Callithrix jacchus: one gene and its partners. The protein of the gene in region 3 interacts with the protein of the main gene of each other region in a biochemical or structural test. Links are inferred from orthologs where the notes say so. Each region holds a gene or a part of one and is shown on either strand. Other genes may lie near its edges.

Region 1 (4,289 bases), on a different chromosome or scaffold from region 3:
CTGCTAAAATCTAACTAACAGAAGTCCAAATGAATCCTTTCAGATATATGCAGCTTGTTCATATTCAGAAAGTTACATCCTTGGACCTCAAAAGTTCTCTGAAACTTTTACCAGTTACAAGACGTTTCAGCTTATCACACTAGCAATATAGTTAAGAGCAAACCAGAGCACCTACAGAATATTAATATTTTTTCCAGATAGAACATTATACTAGTCTCCGCTATAAGCCACAACTTACTTAGGAAGAAGCCAAACAACAAAGACATTACAATCAGTGGCAAGCACTCTTAGGAAAACTGGCACCATGTTGTTTGACTGCAAAATGTGACCAGATGTCCCCACTGTCACTCCCAAAGTTAGGAAGTGAACACCAATGTAGAATTACATTTTCATTTGTAATGGTAATTTGGGGCTGATTTAAATGATACTGACCAAAGCTAAGAAGAAAGCTGTCTAATTACTAAATCTAGTGGCTTTCAGAATTGTTGATTCCATACTTTTCATGTAGAGAATGTTGAGTGAGGGTAACAAAAAATAATTTCAATATAGACCTTCACATGGTTAAAAAAGAAGTCACAATCATTGTAGGTCTAGGTCTGAAGTCAACATAGACGCATTAAACAGTCTATTTGCTTTCTGTTTACAGAACTAAAGTATTATCCACATTCTTTGTCCTTTTAACCAGCATTCTAATAACATCTTCCACCTTCATACTCAATCTTTGGATAAGTAAAATGGCTTTCTCCCCAAATGCCTGTAGGAAAACACCAAACTTTTTTATTTAACACTTCACCATTTTCAACCACGTGTGTAATATTAATCAATGAGACAACATTATTTAAAAATATAAGAATTACAGTGAGACTCTAAGTCCTGACCCCTCTGGGCCTTGGTGTCCACAAATGAACAGTTAACTGCCAACTAAAGTTCTTAATCATTTCTGAAAGTGGTCTATTACATAGCGTATTTTTAAGGGCATACGTGGTTTAAGAAAGATGTCTAACCTAAATTCCTCTAGCATGTTATTTTTGTACCATCAAAAATACAATTAAAAAAATAAGAACCTAAGAGCCAGGCTTAGGAACTCACACCTGTAATCCCAGCACTTTGGGAGCTCAAGGAGAGAGGACTGCTTGAGTTTGGGGCCAGCCTGGGCAGCATAGTAAGATCCTGTCTCTACAAAAAATTTTAAAAGGGTGCAGGCGCCTGTAATCCCAGCTACTAAGGAGGCTGAGGTGGGAGAGTAACTTAAGCCTGGGAGGTTGAGGCTGCGGTGAGCTGTGATGCACCTCTGCACTCCAGCCTGGGCGACAGAGACCCGGTCTCAAAACAAAACAAAATAACCTAGTAATTCTCCCCACCTGTTATCCATGTGGCATGTTGGTCCAGAGAAATTACTAATGATGTTACCAATTACCTTCTGAGATATTTTTTAACATCTTTTTATTATAAAGAAAGGGCTGAAAAGGAGTCAGTATTCATTAAGCATCTACTCTAAGTGTCTCGCATTTTGCATTTGATTTTCACAACTAGACTATAGTTAGGAAAGTTACTTGTGGTTTAAACGTGGACTCTGGAGCTAGACCCCATGCCTTCTCCAGGAGCTCCTGATGACCACAGGCAACTTACTTTTGCTCCCTGTGCTTCAGTTTCTCACTCAGAAAATGAGAATAAAAACAGTACCGACCTCATTAGAGTGGTTCCAGAATTAAATAATACATGTAAAATTCCTAGACCTAAACTTGGCCCTCATTGTCATTATTATAAAAATGAATAATTTAGTGTAGATATTATTGTTCCTATTTCACAGACAAGGAAACGGAAGCTGAGTGCAACTTACTAATCATACAAATGAGTGCAAAGTTTTTGACTCAAAACAACGAATTTCACGAAATAAAAGTTGCTTAGAGTAGGAGTCTCATAAATTCAATTTATGAAGCCTAAGAAATGACGTGAGGTAAAATGATACTAGACACAGGCCGGCTTTCAGGCTCGCGGACGGGGTCTGAGCGCGGGTGACCGTGGTCCTGCGTCCTGGTCCCGGGGTGCCCGGCAGAGGCTGGCGTCTCTGACTGCCGGGCACTCGCGTTTATAAACACGGGGAGGTGGACGGCACTGCCGCCACCACGCCTCTGGTCCCCAGCGGCTACGCGAGGCCACTTTCTGACCCGGCTCCCACCTCCCCCGCCCGCGGCGCTGGCCTCAAGGCTGCCTCCCGGCAGCGGGAGGACACCAGACCAGTCCCCGCCGCGGGCGCGGACAACCGACTCGACGCTGCTCCAAGGACGGCAGCCAGCGAGGGAGCGGGAGACAAAGGCACAGGACCCGTCCAGGGACGCGCCGAGTCCCAAACGCCGAGCCCCAGGAGACCTCGCTGGCTCCACCTGCGCTCGCCCAGCCGGGTGGGAGACTGCAGGTGTCAGGGGCCGCTCGAGCCCACTGCCCCGCAGCTCCCGCAGCCCCGACGTGACAGCGCCCAAGCCATCTACCCCCGCGCTCGGAACGCGGCCGGGTAGGCTCCGCGCCCGGGGACTACCAGCGCCCGCGACTCGAGGCGGGTGGAAGAGCCAGGCGGGTGGCAGAGCGCGGACTTCCTCCCCGGCGAGCCTGGAATCCCACCCCAGCCCCCACCCGCCGGCGGCCGCCCCCGCCCCCACGCCCGGCACAAAGGTCCCGGCGCGGCCCAGCAGGCGGCCCAAAATGCGGCGGCGCACCAGATCCCTGAGGCCGCGGCCCACGACCCCACGCCCGAGGGCCCCGGCCCCTACCTTCCCCGCGCGGCGTCCGAGCCCGGGCGCGGTGGGTTCGGGCCTGCTGCTCCGCGGCTCCCGCTCGGCCTCTCTCGCGGGCTGGCGGGGCCTCCCAGGTCTCGGGCGCGGCGGGCGGCGGCGGCTCCTCCCCCTCAGGGGCGGGAGGAGGGGACTCGGCGGCCCTGAGCCGCCCCCCGGCAGGAAACTAGCCGCGGCCCCGCCTTCTCTGCGCGTCCGATCCCGCTCCCGAGGCCGCAGCCGCCGCCCGCTCCCTCCGGAAACGCATTCCTCTCCCGCCGCGTCAGCCGGGCCCGGGGCGAGGAGGAGGCAGGAAGCGCTGCCGGGACAAAGGAACCGGCCCGCACGGGAGCGCGCCTTGGGGGAGACTGTGGAGGGCGGGGCAGAGACGCCGCAGAGGCCGTCCCGCGCCTCAGTTTCCTCCTCTGTGAAGGGCGTGAGGGGTCGGGTGCGCCCTAGAGCCCCGCGCGTTCCTGGCGTCGCCTCCTGAGCCAGTGTTTTTTGGTTCCGCTTCCTGGGAGCCGCGCGTCCGACCTCCCTTCCCGTTTGTCCACTGATGTCTCGTTTTGAGCCTGTGAGATCCTGCACCCAGGAAGCCCCCCCTTCCGTCCCAAGGCAAATCGGCACCTGAGCCCCGGACCCTGCAGGGCTCCATGGGGGCAAAAACAACGTGGTCCTTCTGGAAGGGAACTGGCTAAGCCAGGACTGCTTTCCTGGGGTGAGAATGTGCTTGCGTGTGTCTAAGAAAAAGGTGAAGACTTGGGGAAGCCCATGGGTGCCACGAAGGGTGGGGATGGGGAACGTTTTAGAAAATGGTGAGTTGTGGGCTGCTTTTGATAGGTTTATCTGAAAGTCCATTTATTGGGGAACAGGGATGAGAAAGAAAAGTTTCATCCTGAGGTGTATAGTTTCTGTTTCTCCTCACTTTTTTTTTTTTTAAACACTTGGAGATGGGGGCTGGAAACAACGTTTGAAAGAGAAGGAAACATTCATAATGAGAATGGCTGGGCACATATCGATTGGATGATTGAAGTTCCTACCAGCCAACATCATACTGAAACCCCGTAATTCAGTATGTGCTGCTGGCAAGCTGCTATCCTGGTAGCAGAAAATGTTGTGGGCTTTACTTAGTAAGCTGCTGCACCCTGTTAGAAAAAGAGCTCAAAATTTATCAGATTTATTAAACTGAGAAGTAGTGTTTCTCTTGTAGGAGATTAGGGGCTGGGACACCCATTTGGCTGCTGCCAATCCAAAATATAAGAGAAAATGAAGCAATAACATCTTTCTAGAAAATTTGCACATTACTTACCAGCAAAATCTATTGGTTAGCCAATCTCTGAAGACCTCTAGAAAATAATCACTATTTTTCCCACTTAATGGATGTTCAAGCTTAAGAGACTAAATGATGTTCCTATAATATATCAATGATCAAACTGCCATTAGAACTCAACATTCTTGAATTTTAAAGGTATCGGTTTTACCATTGTTTGGAATTCATCAGAATTGGCCCAGTCTCAGCAC
Region 2 (3,643 bases), on a different chromosome or scaffold from region 3:
CAGTTCCTTGAGGACTGAAGTCTGTGGCCACCAAGCCCAGCTCAGCAGGAGCAGCGGGGTCCCAGGGGGACACCCTTAGAAGGAGCTTGCCTGGCAGGTGCCTCCATAGTGCCCTCTGCCCTCCTGGATGGGGGCTGTGGACCTGCTTCCCACCCTCCCTGCCACCTCAATTAGGGGAGTGAACTTGGATGGCCCTGGGGCCAGACAGGAGTCACTTACGCCAGCTGGGAGGCCTTGAACAAGCTGCTGCTGTATTTCTGCATGACCCCTTGGAACAAGCCCATGGGGGCGCGGGCTGGCGAGCTCTCGGGAGGCGCAGCGGACCTGGAAGGCGCAGAGCAGGAGTGAAAGAGGGAAAAGTACTCTGCATAGGAGAAGCGGGTCATGGCTTCAGGCAGACGCGAGGATGGAGGGAGAGCTGGCGAGAGACTGACTGACGGACAGACACAGCGCTCTGAACCAAAGCAGATGGCTGGGTCCTCTCCGTGTGCTGGACACAGCTGCTGTGTCTCTGGATTATTTTTGGCCCTTGGAGGAAGCCCTGGGAGATTTAAATGACCATATAAGACAACAATGAGGTTAACCTCACCCCACCCCCAGGATCCCCTCCCCAGCCAGCCACAAGGGAGGCAAATACAAAGCAAGGTGACATTCTTCACCCTGGAGGATGTGAGCCAGGGTCAGCAGGTCAGCAGGTCTCAAGATGAAAAGGGCTCAGCCTCACCACTGGCCAGGCAGGTCCCTACAGGGTGGGACGAGAAATGCATGGGGAAGCAGAGGACAGGGGAGCAAAGCTGAGAAACCAAGCTGTGCCTGTGACCCCCCATGCCCACCTGCTGGCTCCTCATTAGGGGATCTTGTCCCAGGGGTGCGAGCAGACACTACAGCAAACTCTATAATGTCACTATAGGATGCACAAGGAAGGTCATCGCAACCAGACACAGGTTCGTGTCCAGGTTCTGGTGCTCCTTGGCCATGTGATGTGGGACAGGTTGACCATCTCTGTGCCTTAGTCCCCCCACCTGCAAGGTGGCATGAAAACAGCCTGTGCTTGAGGGCCAGTGAGGCCTGCGTAAGCGGCTGATGTGAGGAGCTTGGTGGAGTGAGCGCAGAGGGGGTTGCACACGTGCTCGCTGTTACTTTTCTCGTCATTTTCCTCTCTAAGCCTCAGTTTCCCACCCTGCCAGGCTCTTGAGAGGGTGGAAGGGCTGGAAGAAGGAGGATGGCCGCTCCACACATCTGAGTCGGCCTGGGGTCCTCGTGAGAACAGGGTATGTGGTCCCTGCTGACCCCACCCCCAGGAGGTCAGGCCTGGCGCTCTCACACCCCAGTGGGCCTGGCCTTTCCCCACACTTTTCTTGGGGGATTGGGGAGGATTCTGCTACCAGTGACTCACACCCTGTGGAGCATGAGGTAATTGTGACCCTGAGAAACACTCGCACTCTTTCAGGCCAGGCCAGTGCCTAAAGATTCTGTGAGTACCCCCGGCAAGGCCAGGGCCTGGTGGAGAGGAGCAGGGCCGGTGAGAGGAGGGAGACATGCTCACCCCTCTGCTTCACCCTCTCAGGGTTGGCTGTAGGCCTGGCCGCCTTCCTCACCCTCACTGCAGTCACTCCTTCCCACCTTCCTTCTCCCGCCCCCTGCTCCCGGCCTTCTACTGACCCGCACCGGGGTGGAGGGGACACCTCCTGCAGGTGTCCTCATTCATCCTCATCCATCGACTGTAGATGGGGGTGCCTTTTACAGATAAGGACACGGAGGCTGTGAGCGCAGGGTCACCTGCAGCGGGGCAGCGAGTGAGCAGAGGTTCAGTCCGCTGCTGTCTGCCCAGCTCTGATGCCACCCTGTCCTCTGAAGGCCTGGCCTCTTTCTGCCTTCTCATTCTCTCTCCAGCTCTCCGACCTCCACACTGACCAGCCCTGCAGCTTTGAACAAGCCCCGTCCCCTCTCTGTGCCTCAGTTTTCTCATTTGCAAAATGGAGAAGTGAAACTGGGACCAGACTGGGAACGTCTTCACTGCTTCTGCAGCTGTGGAGAAAGTCCATGTCCAGCAGATCTCAGAGCCAGGGCCCCTCGTCAGCCCTACTAGTTGCTGGACTTAGTGTCCTCTGCGTTAGCACCTGGTCCTGAGAAGGAGTGAGAGCCAGGCAGGTGGAGGCAGCCTGGGGCCAGGCTCACCTCGGCCGTCTCCAGCCGCGTCGTCTTGATGAGGCCCTGAGCTTCCACCTCCCAGGATCCTTGGGTCATGGCTGCCCTCATGCTTAGTCCACGTGTGGCCTCCAATCACCCGCCATCATTAGAATGTTTTTAGCAGGATAATAAAGCATTGGTAAAAAGCCCACTGCACCGTTCTAAACTAGAACCCATTGCTGCATACTAACAGCAGCCATGGTGGCCGGGAGGTTGAGGCTGCTGGAGGTGGAGGGAGATGGTGATGATGACAGCTTCTGACAACTGTGCAGAGCAGACACGTTCGCGAAGGCATGACTCTCCTCTCCTCATTTCCATCCTCCTGCCGTCATTGATGAGGCAGCAGCTATGCTGTTCCAATTTGCAGATGAGGAAACAGACAGACTGAGTTCCGTTCAACAAGGATTTCCCAGCTCTGGCTGGCCATGCAGCTCATTAAGACATACCTTTCTGTGGATCCTGAGGATGTTGGGAAGCCATCAGGGAGGGAAACGAGGTCACACACAGACACAGAGTCACAGAGGATGCACTGAGGTCGAGGCAGGAGGGCTCGTTCTGGGAGCACTGAGATCGGGGTGCTTTGGGGGCTATGCAAGGCAACTGCTCAGAGTTACTGAGCCCTGAGTCTCAGGGCTGGCTGGGGAGCCAGGGCCCCTGACTGGGTTTTGTGCTCTTGCTGATCGAGGCTAGAGGCCCTGATTCCCCTCTGGCCCCAAGCAGGGGAATTCCAAGCAGAGCAGACCTCCTGGGCTGAGTCATGGGAGGTGCGAGGAGCCTGGCCTCTGCAGGATGTGGTGCAGGTCATGGCCTGGAGGAGCCCAGGTAGGGCCTCTGTCCTTTGTGTGTCACTGGGCAGGCTCTGGGGTGAAGAGATGTCACCATCACCTGACCCTGGAGTCCAACTTGTCGTGGATTCAGACCTATCAGGCTCCGTGAGAGCAGAGAATGGGCTGGGGGGACAGTGTATCTTGTCACTTGGTGGGTCAACGCATGGCTGCCCTGTCTGAGTCAGCAAGAAGCCAGGACAGCCCCAGGGAGGCAGTGACTGGGCTGGGCCTGGCTGAAGGCAGGAGGCAAGTAGGCATCTTAACAGAGGAGAGAGCTAACAAACCCAAGATTCCACCTCACACCCACCACCGTGCCATGAGTCCACCCCACACCCCCCACAGTGCCATGAGAGTCCACCCCATGCCTGCCACTGTGCCAGGCCCTCTGTTCTCACCCTAGAGCCTCATGGCGACCTATGTCAAGCCCAAATATCAAGAGTATGATGCGTAGCACACAGTAGGCGCTTGATAAATTTAAGTAAATAAAACAAACCATCAAACAAAAGTCACTGAAGGATGAAAACCACACATGGCAATCTTGGTACTGTATGTTTGTGGACCAAGGTCTCATACTGCTGGAGAGCCGTCCCCTGCCCTCTCGGGTAGAGAGAAGAGCTCACAGCATG
Region 3 (3,643 bases):
GGTCAAGTGCTCAGGCCCTGGGCTGGAGCGGGCCACCGCTGGGGAGATGGGCCAATTCCAAGTGGACTGCTCCAGCGCGGGCAGTGCAGAGCTGACCATCGAGATCTGCTCAGAGGCAGGGCTACCAGCCGAGGTGTACATCCAGGACCATGGCGATGGCACGCACACCATCACATACATTCCCCTCTGCCCTGGGGCCTACACTGTCACCATCAAGTATGGAGGCCAGCCTGTGCCCAACTTCCCCAGCAAGCTGCAGGTGGAGCCTGCAGTGGACACTTCCGGCGTCCAGTGCTACGGGCCTGGGATTGAGGGCCAGGGTGAGTGGCCCTGCTGTGCGGTATGTGGCAGTGGGGATATAGGGACCAGAGCCCCAAGTCTCCTCCCTGTGTCCCTTTGCAGGCGTCTTCCGAGAGGCCACCACTGAGTTCAGTGTGGACGCCCGGGCCCTCACACAGACTGGAGGGCCACACGTCAAGGCCCGTGTGGCCAACCCGTCAGGCAACCTGACAGAGACCTATGTGCAGGACCGCGGCGACGGCACCTACAAAGTGGAGTACACCCCTTATGAGGAGGGTCCGTGCCGGGGCTCCTGCAGGCCGGTGGGCGGGGTGGGTATCGCAGCCCGGACTCCTCCTGACCTGGCCTGCACTCCTTTAGGACTGCACTCTGTGGACGTGACCTACGATGGCAGCCCTGTGCCCAGCAGCCCCTTCCAGGTGCCTGTGACCGAGGGCTGTGACCCCTCCCGGGTGCGTGTCCATGGGCCGGGCATCCAAAGCGGCACCACCAACAAGCCCAACAAGTTCACTGTGGAGACCAGGTGAGGGGGCCCCGGGTGCCCGTGTGGCCGCTGGACCTGGGAACCCCGAGAATGAGCAGCTGTCTCTTTGGACCAGGGGAGCTGGCACAGGAGGCCTGGGCCTGGCTGTAGAGGGCCCCTCCGAGGCCAAGATGTCCTGTATGGACAACAAGGACGGCAGCTGCTCAGTCGAGTACATCCCCTATGAGCCTGGCACTTACAGCCTCAACGTCACCTATGGTGGCCATCAAGTGCCAGGTGAGGAGGTGGCGGCCAGCGCAGGGCTGGGACTATCTGCTTGTCCCCACCCTGTCTCATATAGCCACCATGCCTTTGCCCCACCCCTCAGGCAGTCCTTTCAAGGTACCTGTGCATGATGTGACAGATGCATCCAAGGTCAAGTGCTCTGGACCGGGCCTGAGTCCTGGCATGGTTCGTGCCAACCTTCCTCAGTCCTTCCAGGTGGACACAAGCAAGGCTGGTGTGGCCCCACTGCAGGTCAAAGTGCAAGGGCCCAAAGGTGAGTGTTTGCATGCCTGGAGCTGGGAGTCGGGAAGGAGACTGCTAGTGTGCAGGTGTTCTTGGAAGAGCCTCACATGACAGTGCAGCCAGGAGGGGGACTGGGAGGAGGTAGAACAGATAGGACTTTGTCACTTAGCAGATGTGGCAGGACGGCACGCAGGCAAGGGTCCCAGCTGGCACCCAGATGGGCGTCTTTTGTGCCAGAGAGGGTCAGGGCCATTCCCAGGGTCGGGCTGATGGGGATGAAGCAAGGTCTAGGCCTGGGGCTGAGTCTTGGCCATTGAGAGGCGGGGTAGGAGTGGAGGCCCAGGATATGAGCTGAGGCTGTGTCCCTGGGCCTGGGGCTAGGCCTGGTGGAGCCAGTGGATGTGGTGGACAATGCTGATGGCACCCAGACCGTCAATTACGTGCCCAGCCGAGAAGGGCCCTACAGCATCTCAGTACTGTATGGAGATGAAGAGGTACCCCGGAGGTAAGAGGCAGGGCCCGCTGCCTGAGGGGAGGTCCAGGCTGGATGCCTAGAGCCTATCTAACTGCTCACGACACCCTTGCCCACAGCCCCTTCAAGGTCAAGGTGCTGCCTACTCATGATGCCAGCAAGGTGAAGGCCAGTGGCCCTGGGCTCAACACTACTGGCGTGCCCGCCAGCCTGCCCGTGGAGTTCACCATCGATGCAAAGGATGCCGGGGAGGGCCTGCTGGCTGTCCAGATCACGGTGAGCTCCAGGCACAGGCAGGGGAGGCAAGGGGTCTGGGCCTGGGTGGCTGGAGTGTGGGCTGCCGGTGGCGCAGGCTGGCGTCTGGTCTCCCTGGGGCACTGCACCAAGGAGGGCAGGGAAGGACAGGGCCACAGCCTTTGGCTTGCTAAGGTTGTAACCAACTTAGGATGGTGGCGATAGGCCTGGGCTCCCCCAGACATGCACTTGCTCACTGCTGACTTTGAGCACATTACCAAAGCCTTTTGTGCCTCAGTGTCCCTACCTGTAACATTCTCATGGGGCAGGGAGAAGCCTGAGATCACCTGGGTGTGCTGGACAGGACCTGGGGCTGAGGATGGGTGCCAGGCTCCCTGGCCGTGCCTGTTGTCAGTGGGGGGTGTTGGATGTTTTAGTCTCCCTTGTGGACTCTGCCTGTAGGGAAATAAAGGGCAGTTGAGAGGCCTGGGGCCCAGAGGCTATCCCTGTAGCAGCGGCGCTGGCCACTCCGGGAGGCCAACTGTCTCCCCTGCCTCTGCCACACAGGACCCCGAGGGCAAGCCAAAGAAGACACACATTCAAGACAACCATGACGGCACCTACACAGTGGCCTATGTGCCAGACATGACGGGTCGCTACACCATCCTCATCAAGTACGGTGGTGATGAGATCCCCTTCTCCCCATACCGCGTTCGCGCCGTGCCCACCGGGGACGCCAGCAAGTGCACAGTCACAGGTGAGCCAGCCTGCCGTTGGCCGCCGCTGTGCTCGGCACGGGGCTTGGGTTGTGCCTGTGTGCAAGGGCTCGCTGCTTGGGGCGGCGTGTGGGAGTGGGGGCCGCCCCCTTGAGTGACTCACCTGACCTTTCTCCTTGCTCTCTGCCCTCTCACCTCAGTGTCAATCGGAGGTCACGGGCTAGGTAAGCTGCTTGCTGGGGCCACTCCCAATGCCCCTCCTGTCCAGAGGGGCAGCTTCCTTTCCTCTTGGGGCCAATTCCCAGGACAGTTCCAGCTGCAGCTCTAGGCAGGGATAGAGTGGGGGTGGGGGGCACAGAAGATGAGGCCATGGGCGGGAGGGCGAGGGCCCAGGGAGGCTTCCGGAGCTGAGCATGATCGCTCCAGCCCTCCCCTCTCTGGGCCTCTATTTCCCCATCTGAGAACTCGGGTTGCAGCTGAGAGCTTTGGGGTGAGGTGCATCCTGAGAGGCACCCCACTGGGGACTTTGGGGTCTCGGGATCTTGGCACCCAGGGAAACACAAGGGCTCCTGCGTGGGCTGAGGGAACAAGGGGTCTCCCCAACACAATGGGAGCCCCAGCCCTGGCCAGATCCACAGACTCCCATCCCCACCTTCCAGGGGCCTCTGTGTCCCGGGCTGGGGGAGGTGCATGAGCGGGTGGGGCTGGCTGGTAGTGCAGTAGCACCAGTGTTGACTGCTTGGGCGGCCAGCATGGCGGGGCGCAGCCCAGCCTCAGAGCCCCAAAGTGCATTCTGTGGCCCGTCTCCCTCCTTCCCCCTCCCTGATCCCCCAGCAGTGACGTTATTCAGACATTCAACAGGGACACCCAGGGATGCTGATAAGAGTCTGCAGGCCTGGCACTTGGGCAAGGTGGCCAAGGAGAGGGTTA

The links.
Region 1: the proteins of FLNA (region 3) and ITGB1 form a complex in vitro, tested with the Homo sapiens proteins (3 studies listed by BioGRID and IntAct). The link is inferred for Callithrix jacchus from reciprocal best matches to the Homo sapiens genes FLNA and ITGB1.
Region 2: the proteins of FLNA (region 3) and ASB2 form a complex in vitro, tested with the Homo sapiens proteins (3 studies listed by BioGRID, with this or other methods). The link is inferred for Callithrix jacchus from reciprocal best matches to the Homo sapiens genes FLNA and ASB2.

Annotation. Positions count from the first base shown.
Region 1 is NC_133508.1:32,641,293-32,645,581, forward strand, and holds the start of ITGB1 (integrin beta-1), read right to left. Parts: upstream 2,845-4,289; 5' UTR 2,769-2,844; intron 1-2,768.
Region 2 is NC_133509.1:128,773,514-128,777,156, forward strand, and holds part of ASB2 (ankyrin repeat and SOCS box protein 2), read right to left. Parts: intron 325-3,643; coding exon 220-324; intron 1-219. UniProt on the Homo sapiens protein: Substrate-recognition component of a SCF-like ECS (Elongin-Cullin-SOCS-box protein) E3 ubiquitin-protein ligase complex which mediates the ubiquitination and subsequent proteasomal degradation of target proteins.
Region 3 is NC_133524.1:150,150,682-150,154,324, reverse strand, and holds part of FLNA (filamin-A), read left to right. Parts: coding exon 1-320; intron 321-402; coding exon 403-576; intron 577-660; coding exon 661-823; intron 824-899; coding exon 900-1,060; intron 1,061-1,151; coding exon 1,152-1,322; intron 1,323-1,672; coding exon 1,673-1,796; intron 1,797-1,882; coding exon 1,883-2,039; intron 2,040-2,564; coding exon 2,565-2,754; intron 2,755-2,913; coding exon 2,914-2,937; intron 2,938-3,643. UniProt on the Homo sapiens protein: Promotes orthogonal branching of actin filaments and links actin filaments to membrane glycoproteins. Anchors various transmembrane proteins to the actin cytoskeleton and serves as a scaffold for a wide range of cytoplasmic signaling proteins.